Linked DNA regions of Drosophila melanogaster. The protein of the gene in region 1 interacts with the protein of each later gene in a biochemical or structural test. Each region holds a gene or a part of one and is shown in the gene's direction. Other genes may lie near its edges. The genes, in order: dpn and dgrn.

What was found.
Region 2: of the proteins of dpn (region 1) and dgrn, one has a biochemical effect on the other in vitro, tested with the Drosophila melanogaster proteins (one study listed by BioGRID).

The regions. Positions count from the first base shown.
Region 1 is NT_033778.4:8,228,321-8,234,031, reverse strand, and holds dpn (deadpan), read left to right. Parts: upstream 1-1,701; 5' UTR 1,702-1,983; coding exon 1,984-2,109; intron 2,110-2,337; coding exon 2,338-2,433; intron 2,434-2,443; exon of another isoform or gene 2,444-2,928; intron 2,929-2,966; exon of another isoform or gene 2,967-3,529; coding exon 3,530-4,615; 3' UTR 4,616-5,061; downstream 5,062-5,711. Other genes in the region: CG34217 (uncharacterized protein), read left to right, coding at 5,417-5,711. UniProt on the Drosophila melanogaster protein: Transcriptional repressor of genes that require a bHLH protein for their transcription.
Region 2 is NT_033777.3:5,822,631-5,827,263, forward strand, and holds dgrn (degringolade), read left to right. Parts: upstream 1-1,984; 5' UTR 1,985-2,318; coding exon 2,319-2,345; intron 2,346-2,402; exon of another isoform or gene 2,403-2,405; coding exon 2,406-2,814; intron 2,815-2,868; coding exon 2,869-2,958; intron 2,959-3,174; coding exon 3,175-3,608; 3' UTR 3,609-3,946; downstream 3,947-4,633. Other genes in the region: Sec20 (secretory 20), read right to left, coding at 1,075-1,677, 1,731-1,811.

The DNA.
Region 1 (5,711 bases):
TGATGTGCTCATCAGTGCAGAATTCAGCCGAACCCCATGGTTTAGTTGCTGTGGATGTTTTAGTTGGTCAATCGTAGCCGTGGCATTTATTCAATTTACGAAAGTTGACATCGGATCAGTGCTGCAGAGCTTGTGCATGATGGATGATCGCCACAGATTATTGCTCAACACGGGATTTACGCTCAGGCCGCGAGGGATCACTTTGCACAACCAGGGTTGCCAGGCGGCGCAATACGTTTACGATCCCACCCAAAACTCCCCAAATCGGTCCATAGGTAGATCTACGTCAGCTGTCAGCTGGCGCATGGCCCGCGTCAGTGGTTATTGACAACTCCTTTGGTCGTAATCCTGCCAACATCGTAAAGTAATAAATTTGCCTGAAAAAGGAAAATCTGCCGGGGATCGACTATAAAAATTGGCCCAGCCAGGTAAGCTCCGTAATGATTGACCCCGACCCTCAGTCCCAGACCCACGACCGATCCAGGTCCGATTCCGATCCATTGCAAGTCGCGATTCCGTCCCGAAACCCAAGCAACCCCCTAAGACGCTTCTGCCGATGAGCCGACCAGGCAAAAGCGAAGAATTTGAAACTAAGGATTTCGCCTTGCAAGGGGGTTGGGTTGTCACGGGGGTTGCGGCAGCTGCGCCGAACAATTGCCAAGGAGTTCTCCTTAATGAATTGCAAATCATTCGCCGGGCATTGATCAAGTTTGTCCTTGCCAAGGGTGAAATCTGTGCGACTAAATGTGCCATCAGCCAGCCACCCAAAAGGGAAACGGACACAAACGGAACATCTGTCGCAAATAATGCTACTCACTGATAACTTATAGAAAATCTCACTTGATACATTTTTTAAGGAACTAAAGATTTTTTGCTTTGCTTTAGCAAATTTCAAGTACTAAAGAAGAATCGCTGTTAATTCTCTGAATATAGTTCATATTTTTGTTAACTATTGCTTTAATCAATTCATTAAAAGTAATAAGCAAGTAAAAAGTAAAAAAAAGTAAAGTAATAATATTCATAAGATTTATAGTAGCTTTGTATAATTATTGCTAAATATATGAATATTCTAAAACAAATAGATTGGGTATTAAGTCGGCTTCGACACGAATTAGAAGATTAAATTCAGTTATAAATTTTTGTTAAATTGTAATAAACTTTAAATTCATTAATGATATGTTATTGATTTTAATGCTTAATTTCCTTCAAAATTATTTAATATACAATGCTTGCTGTATTTTACAATAAAATCAACTAAATTTTGTGGGTTTCGTCAAGCCAAAGGCTAATGACTTGGCTTAACCGAATGTTGTGTTGTTTCTCGATCAGGCTCGACTTAGTCTCGTTTACTTGAGTTAAGCTCCTATTTTCACTAATCCCCTGGAATCCGCAATTCGTTGACTCGGCAACTCTGCCTGCCTGGGAATACCTACTCAAATACTCACTTAAATCTCACTCCGAGTGTGAACTCATTGGATTTGGGGTGGTTATGCACTCACTCACTCTCCGATTGAGCGCAACTGCGCTGCTGCGGTGAAAAGTTCTCAGTCTGCGGACGGCGATCGTTGGGCTGCCTACCTGCCTCAGCTCTGCCTCTGCCGCTGCCCGCGTCGCCAGGTAAGAGAGTCCCTCGGTTTCACTCGTGGACTCGTTTCGGCTTCGACCCGATTCGTTTTTAGCTGGTGCCCGTGGACTCGGAGGATCAGTATCCTTTTGGCATCTCGCGAGCGCGGTCGTCTGCCGCTCTCCTTTGAATGAACATTTAAAATACTATTCTATACGATTCGATAACCAGAACGATCTTTAACGCGTACCGCTTGTTAAGTTTTTGTTGTTCGGACATTACTAAGAAGTACGTGCAATAATTGTTATAACTATTTTCGTACTCGAACCAAAGTTATTGTGTTGTGAAAAAGACCAAATCGAAATCGAACTATCTTGGATTATCTCCCACTTGGATATACAAATTAAAATCGTTACAAAATGGATTACAAAAACGATATTAATTCCGACGACGATTTCGACTGCTCCAACGGCTATAGCGACAGCTATGGCTCCAATGGACGCATGTCCAATCCCAATGGATTGTCAAAAGCAGAACTTAGAAAGGTGAGTTCGCTCTTTTGCGATGAAATTGGACTCGCAAACTAAAAAATAGCAGAGTTTATTAGCACCCTCGATCGTTTTGAACCTTTTCATTTTAATGGCTTAGAAAATGTAAAGCATTAAATTAATTTTAAAAATCAAGTGAAACCCTTGTTTTATATAAACAAAGATATCCCTTAAACTGAAATAAATTCCTACGAAATAAACTAATTGATTCCCTTTCTTTTCTAGACCAACAAACCGATTATGGAGAAACGTCGCCGAGCTCGCATTAATCACTGCCTCAACGAACTGAAGTCCCTTATCCTGGAGGCGATGAAAAAAGACGTAAGTATCTTGCCCGAGCGTCAAAGCAGAAAAGGAGCGGTCCGCCCGCGAATTAGAAACTAGCCCCCGATCCCTTTTGGTTCACTTTCTTATAAATAATGTTAGTCCACAAAAAAAAACCTTTAAGGCACAAGTGTCCGAAGGGCGGCAGAACTACAAAAGAACAAAAAAATGTATAAAAAACGAACTCCTACGACACAAGAACTGAAAAAAAAAACACAAACCAAGGGCTCTAATTGAGTATTAAATTTTATTGATGATCATTACACTAGAGCGCCGACGAGGAGTCAGTCAAGAGACCAAAAAGTGTTAACAAGTCGAGGAATTACGCAGAAATCGCCGGAGATGCGAACGAAACCAGTTTCCAAGGAGTGATCCTGCTGTGAGAAACTACAAAGCAGAAATCAAGTAAAATTTGCCGCCGCAGAATTCTGCAGGAGAGCCGGACCAAAAATCAAATAAGAAAGACATTGAGGGAAAAAAGCAAAAGTAAACAAAAGGTTCAGACAGGGGAGCGGGGGAGGTTGAGGGGGCGGGGCTGGCGAGCGACCTGCGTGGGAACCTTTTGCTAAAATATGCAGTCCCAGCGGCGAGAAAGGGACGAACAATCGGGGACCGAAGACTGGCGAAGATCGCACTGCGCGAAAAAAGAAGATCAGGAAGAACGATTTGGAATCTTCTGTGCCCAAAAAGTCTTCATATGAGATCACAAACGATAAGATCGGCGAGTAGTTTATTTTAGAACCACTTACTAAAGACAGTCACTTTTCCATCATTAGTATTCACTTGCCAGAAAATTTGACTTTAAGCCCCCTTTTTGCTCAGTGCACAGTAGCAAGATCAGTCGTTCTTCTCGCTGGAGTTGCTGAATCTCACCTTGGTCGTGTGATATTTACAGAGTGGACTCGACTGAAGTGGACTGCAGATTACACGCGAATAGTTGGACATATGAGGCACGAAACGTGCTTCTTAACTTCGCTTTTTCCCAAGCTATTGAACTTGTTGTAGGGCCCCAAACAATTAGCCCGACCATCTCCCACCCCATCCCCATTTCATCATTATCTGACTTTGGTTCCTTCGTCTTCTATACTTTTAGCCGGCTCGTCATACCAAACTGGAGAAGGCCGACATACTTGAGATGACGGTGAAGCATCTGCAGTCGGTGCAGCGCCAGCAGCTCAACATGGCCATCCAATCGGATCCCAGCGTTGTCCAGAAGTTCAAGACGGGATTCGTTGAGTGCGCGGAGGAGGTGAACCGCTATGTAAGCCAAATGGATGGCATCGATACCGGTGTTCGTCAGCGGCTCAGCGCCCATCTTAACCAGTGTGCCAATAGTCTGGAGCAGATCGGTTCGATGAGCAACTTCAGCAATGGATACCGTGGTGGCTTGTTTCCCGCCACAGCTGTCACGGCTGCTCCCACTCCGCTGTTTCCCTCGTTGCCGCAGGACTTGAACAACAACAGCCGCACGGAGTCATCGGCTCCGGCCATCCAAATGGGTGGACTTCAGCTAATTCCCTCCCGCCTGCCCTCGGGAGAGTTTGCCCTCATCATGCCGAACACAGGTTCCGCTGCTCCGCCTCCGGGACCCTTTGCCTGGCCAGGATCTGCAGCGGGAGTCGCAGCTGGAACAGCCAGTGCCGCCTTGGCCAGCATTGCCAATCCCACACATCTAAATGACTATACACAGAGCTTCAGGATGAGCGCGTTCAGCAAACCGGTCAATACCTCAGTTCCGGCCAATCTTCCGGAAAACCTCATCCACACACTGCCCGGCCAAACGCAGCTGCCGGTGAAGAACAGCACAAGCCCACCGCTGAGCCCAATCTCCTCCATCTCCAGCCACTGCGAGGAGTCCCGGGCTGCCTCGCCCACCGTGGATGTGATGAGCAAGCACAGTTTCGCCGGCGTCTTCTCAACTCCGCCACCAACCAGCGCGGAGACCTCCTTCAACACCAGCGGATCCCTCAACTTGAGTGCCGGAAGCCACGACAGCAGCGGATGCTCGCGACCGCTGGCCCACTTGCAGCAACAGCAAGTGAGCTCCACCAGCGGAATCGCCAAGCGCGACAGGGAGGCGGAGGCCGAGTCCAGCGACTGCTCCCTGGACGAGCCCTCGTCCAAGAAATTCCTAGCTGGCGCCATCGAAAAGTCGAGCTCCGCTTGGAGGCCGTGGTAGATCAACCGCACAGGCCACTTCTATGTTACGTTTATACATTGTTAATTTATTTCATTGCAATTTTTTCAAAGATCACTTCAATGCTTTAGAACCCCATTAAGTTTCAACGATTTCTATATGTTTTTATGTATCCCCGTTTCGCTTTCTTCATTTTAAGTTCAGCTGTGATTTTGTATATTTTTTGTGTAGTTCTCGTTTAAGCGCTTTATACGACTATTATGTAGTTCATTAAATAATTATGTTCTTTAATGTTTCATTAACTGCTCAAGTATTTAAACAATTAAACGTGTTTCTATTTAAGTTATGTAGTTTTCATTGTATAGCGTTTATCATTAGGTCATTCACGTTTCTATATTAGTGTTTTAATTTAACGATTGTAATTTTAACTTTTAGGTAATGCAAAATTCGATGGAGTGAAAATAATGATAATAAAAAAAAAATGCTGCAAAAGAAAAATCCATCCAAATTTAATGGTTCCTTGGTTCTTAACTGATTAGAATTGGAAAATTCAAGATCGCATCAACAATCAATAGTACTTGAACTCATTGAAAAGTCGGAAGCTGAATTCAAATCAATACGGAAACAGCCTTATCATGTATGTTCGATGTTTTCGCAAAGTTTGATTGAAAAGATAACTCAATCGAAAGCTCCCAATCCATGCTATATAAGCAATAGGCGGAACACATTTAGTGTGTCAAAAACTAAATTATTGCAATCAAGAGCGCGCAGTGACTTTCAGGCGTGCATTGAAAAATCTCAGAAATTATAAAAACAATTTAATTGAAAAATTTTAATTTTACCATGCCAGGAAATCTGTTTCAAGTGTTACTAACTGTGGCGATCCTGCCAGCTATTAGTTTGGCATCTAGTTCTGAAGATGGTCTGCACCATTACCGTGCTTCTCCAAAGCTCACGGGTCCTGTGAAGCTCCTACACGATCCCGAGGACACCATTCTGAACACCTTGGATGGCGCTCTGGAGAAGATCTCCACCATCTACATGCAGGCCTTGTTCGCTGGTACCCACACCCCGGAACTGGAAGCCCCACTCCGAGCCCTCGAAATCGAGTTGTTCGATCTGCTGGACGAGCTCTATA
Region 2 (4,633 bases), on another chromosome or scaffold:
TAGAAGACGATTTTCGGGCCGAAATCAATTCTGATCGAAGAAACGAATTTACATGGTACATATTAGGGTAGTTTTTGCCAATTTCCTAGCAATATGATAAAATAAAAAATTTTTAAAAATTCGCGCCCTGGCTATTATAATTTTAAAGCTTTTTTAAATTTCTTTGTTAAAATCGCCGCTCGAATTAGCTACCGTTTACACATTTGTATTTATGTTTAATTCTAATTTGTCTCTCATCTGACAATTTTTTAAAACCGAAATATTTTTTTTGAAACACTTTTAATGTTAATGTTACATCATATTAAGTCAAATGATTTAATAAATATACTAAATAATTAAATATGCAATTAAATTAAATTGCAAAAGTAATATCAAAGACAATAGAATTATTCTAGTGTCTTTGCTTTGTTCATATCTTGAGGCACGAAGTGCGGACACAAGCACTCAACAATCATTGCCTTATTAATTTTTCACACGCCGCAAGATGAATACTCTAATGACAAATATTCTTATATAAATTCATTTTTGAAATTTATTTTTGTGATAATATGTACATAGATTTGACTATTTCTAATCTATTTTCAAATAATAATAACGTTAAGGCAATGCAAAACAAGAATTTTTCGCATGGTGCCAATTGATAAAAAATAATATAGATTTAAAGCCAAAGAACTTCTAAGGTGAAGGGCATATTTTGTCAAATTTACAATGCATGTGAATACGTGTGCACACATACAGATGTCTGCTATCACTTTGTGCGTTGAAAAGAGCTGTTCGCTGTAGCGCTCTTCGCTCTCTCGCTCTCTAACAAAAATTCGAGAGAGCCTGGAGCCACCTCTAGAGCCACGGCCAAAAAATCGTGTGCCAAAAAATCGTATGGCGTTACGCATCTTGTTATTCTAGGGTCTTTGGCTGTACCACGTTTACAACTTAGGCAAATCACTAAATAATATAAATATAGGAGCTGTGCTTACAAGGTATGGTCATGTGCTAAGCTTAATCTAGCTATACCTAGACAACAGAAGCGACAACCTTAAGCTATTTTGGGAACGGGTTTTGTCCATTTGTGGAGTCTTAGAAGAGTCGCTTTTGGACGATGTAAAAGACACAGGCGAGGAACAAGGAGAAGGCGAAGAAGAGCAGCATTTTGTCAGTGCACTCGCGTCGTCCGTACTTTTTGAGCAGCTTGCCGGACATGCTAATGCTGCCGGCCGTGTGGTGCAGTTCGTCGCTGGTGGCCTCCACATTTTGCGACGAGGCCACGAGCGTTTCCAGGGTGATGGCGCTCTTCTGGGTGGTCTCCGAGAGGTGCCGCGATATAGCCAGCATCTTCTCGGTCACGTCGTTCTCCTGCGAAACCAGACTGCCCTGGTTGTGCCGCGCCCGTGTTGTGGTTCGTTGGCGTAGCTCACTCTCGCCGGTAATGGCCATTAACTCCTCCCGATTGGCCTTCTCGATCTCCAGCATCGTGGACACGTTTGCTTTTCGGAACGCCTGCAGCGTTTTGGAGAACTGATCACGGTGGTCGTCCACTTCATTGGCCAGCGCAGAGTCTGCCGTGTCCCGCGCCCAGTCGTCCAGCCGCTCGATGCTTTTGCGGATAGCAGACAGTTTGGAGCGGCCCGCTTCGTTCAGCTCCTCGAGTTCGGCGATGGAGGTGCGGCTGTTCAGGATGTCCTAAAAACAGAAGCTCGGTAATGAGGGTTTCTCTTCAGATAGCGGAGACTTACGTGTATTATTGCCTTAGCCTGCAGATTGTTATCGATAAGGTCCTGCCGTATGGCCTGTAATGTAAACGCATCCTTGTCCATGTCTCCAACTTTGTTTTGTTTCGAAAATATTCTATTATTCTGCTTTGGTGACGTGCATTTAACGTTAATTCCCGCAATTTTCTAACACTACCACGGCACGGTATATATCGATGGCATTTAATCGCCTAAAAAATATCGTTTACATAGTGATGGTATGGTTTTGTAATGTCGACATATTTATATACATTTCTTATAATTATTTTGTTATCAAAGAATTTCGCCGAAACGGAAATTTTATTTTTAATAAATTATTGATTTTTATTGAATTACAAGTGTCATTCTAAACAGCATTGTATAATACCGCAAAAATCGATAGTCGATCTTAAATCCTTGTTCCCGAATGTCCGTAAAGTGTCATCTTTAAAATAACCGAATGGTCGCGTGAAAGGAGGAAACTATTTTGCACATTTCAATCTGCACTAAAGCACATGTATATCTGGGTTCACCTGCTTTTGTCTTTACTACGAAATCATTTCACAAGTTTCCTGGTCATTTGTTGCTCGAACAATGTCAGATTCGACTATTTTCCGTTTTGTAAGTATACCCTGGACTTTAAACTAGTTAATTCCGATTTATGATTGATTTATTTAGTAGAACTCATCCATTCTTGATCAGTCAGCGGACAGCAACGTATCCAGTTCGAGCTCCAATTCCAGTGTATCCGACTCTTCTGTGGACTCCCATTCATCCATAGAATCCAATTCGGGACACAATACATCCGTGGAATCTCAGTCATCCGCGGAATCTGATTCATCCGCTGATTCCCATTCGTCCTTGGAACGCCCATCCCCAGTGGAGCGTGATTTATCTGTGGAATCAGACTCATCTTCAGCCACCAATACCAGCGAATCTTCAGTCGGAGAAGCTTCAAACCAACTGCAGTCACCGCAAAGCAATAACCCCTTAAATATGGCTAACTTGTCTGTCTCGACTGAAGATGCTCATTCGCAGATCAGATCACTTACCCAGGATGTGATCCAGATGGAAGCAGAGTTGGATCGCAGTATGTCACTCCATAATCATTACGAAGTTTTCTGTTAATTGTTTCATATTTCAGTGAATCGCTACTGCGAGGAAGTTGTGGCACAGATTGACACCTTCGCCACGAGAACCTCAACGCCAACAACTCGTAGAATTCGCCGCAGAAGTAAGTGCAGATCAAAATGAACGCATCTGGGTTTCACAATGAACAATGTTTTTAATTCCACAATAACCAATGACATAGTTCTTTCTATAACCCTGCCGGGTTACTTACTTTTGAAGGCAAAATTTATCTATATTTTTTAAAATTTTGTGAAAACCAGATAGCTTTCGCGGATAGAGCTAGCAATAAACCGAATACCGTTTCTTACTTTTTCCGTAGCGAGTCCAGTAGAAGTGATAGATCTGTCCCATTTGGACCGTGCACCACCTGTTCGATCCGCTCGGAATCGTGATCCCGATGCTTTCATCGATCTATGCACCCCCGAAGGCCCAAGAAGTCGCACAGTGAATCTTCACTCCAACGACTCCCTCACCATTCTGCCACGTCGGTCAGCCGAAAATGACCCGGTAGTGGATCTCGACGTTGCGTCGCCACCAAAACGCGTTAATCGCGACATTGATGAGTCCCAAAAAGAGGAGTTATACAAGTGCCCCATCTGCATGGACAGTGTATCGAAGCGCGAGCCAGTGTCAACCAAATGTGGACACGTCTTCTGCCGCGAATGCATCGAAACAGCCATCAGAGCTACGCACAAGTGCCCAATATGCAACAAGAAGCTGACCGCACGTCAATTCTTTCGCATTTACTTGTAAGTTGCTTATACTATTTCACATTTTTTGCTCTGTGAGCCTTAATATAATATAGTTTAAAAAAAAACGCTTAACTATGTTAGAGACGGCAAATAATGTCTGTTCTTGTGATTCAGAAAAAATTAGTTATTTAAGTTGTCCTATGTAATCAGTGGCGCCCAAAAATATTTGAATACAACTATAAAAACTAAAGACTTCACTTTTGATGTATGAAACCATCTCAGGCTAGAATAATATAAGAACGACCGAAAGGAGTGTCAAAGTATTATGTAGGCATTTTTCCAAACGCAATTTAACAATGTAACATACATATAATATAATAAATAAAATGGTCCCAACGCATATCAACAGGTTTGTCTCAATCTCATTTTTTATTGTTGGCTACTATTTTTTGAGACAGAAGTCAGACATGGAATTCTGAGATCATTAAAGGGTCGATAAAACAGGATAAATTGGAAACAGGTGGAACATGAAGTGTCTTTAAAGAGACTTTTTCCCTCCAATTTTGTATATATATAACAATATATTTTTTTTTTTTTAAACTTCATTCTATTTATTTTGGTTCCAAAAGGAATCGTTCGGTCAATTCCTCTGAACTTAACCTTATGTGTGTATAAAGGTATATTAGACCAAGTGGTTTCTTAATTATTAAGTACAAAAGGGAAAATGTATCTAGTTATTAATTACTTATTGTGTAAGGGTGTAGGGAGATCGGTGGGGTGTACCCTCTTCAGCCTTCGGAGGGAGATGGGATTAGATAGGCTATTTGCTAGTCGGTTCGGGTGGACCATAAGCCTGTCGGCATAACGGCTGCTGTGAAAATTAATCTGATCCCCAAGAGGGGTAACTTTCAGATCTCTTTCGATTACCTTGTTTGTCACGTACCAGGGGAGCCCAAAAGCACGACGTGCAGCTCTCGACTAGACGACACGGAGCCTATTGAGCTGGGATTTGGCGGCAGTTCCCCACACCTGGATGGCATAACTCCACGTTGGAGCAAGTATGGCTTTGATTAAAAGAGCCTTAGA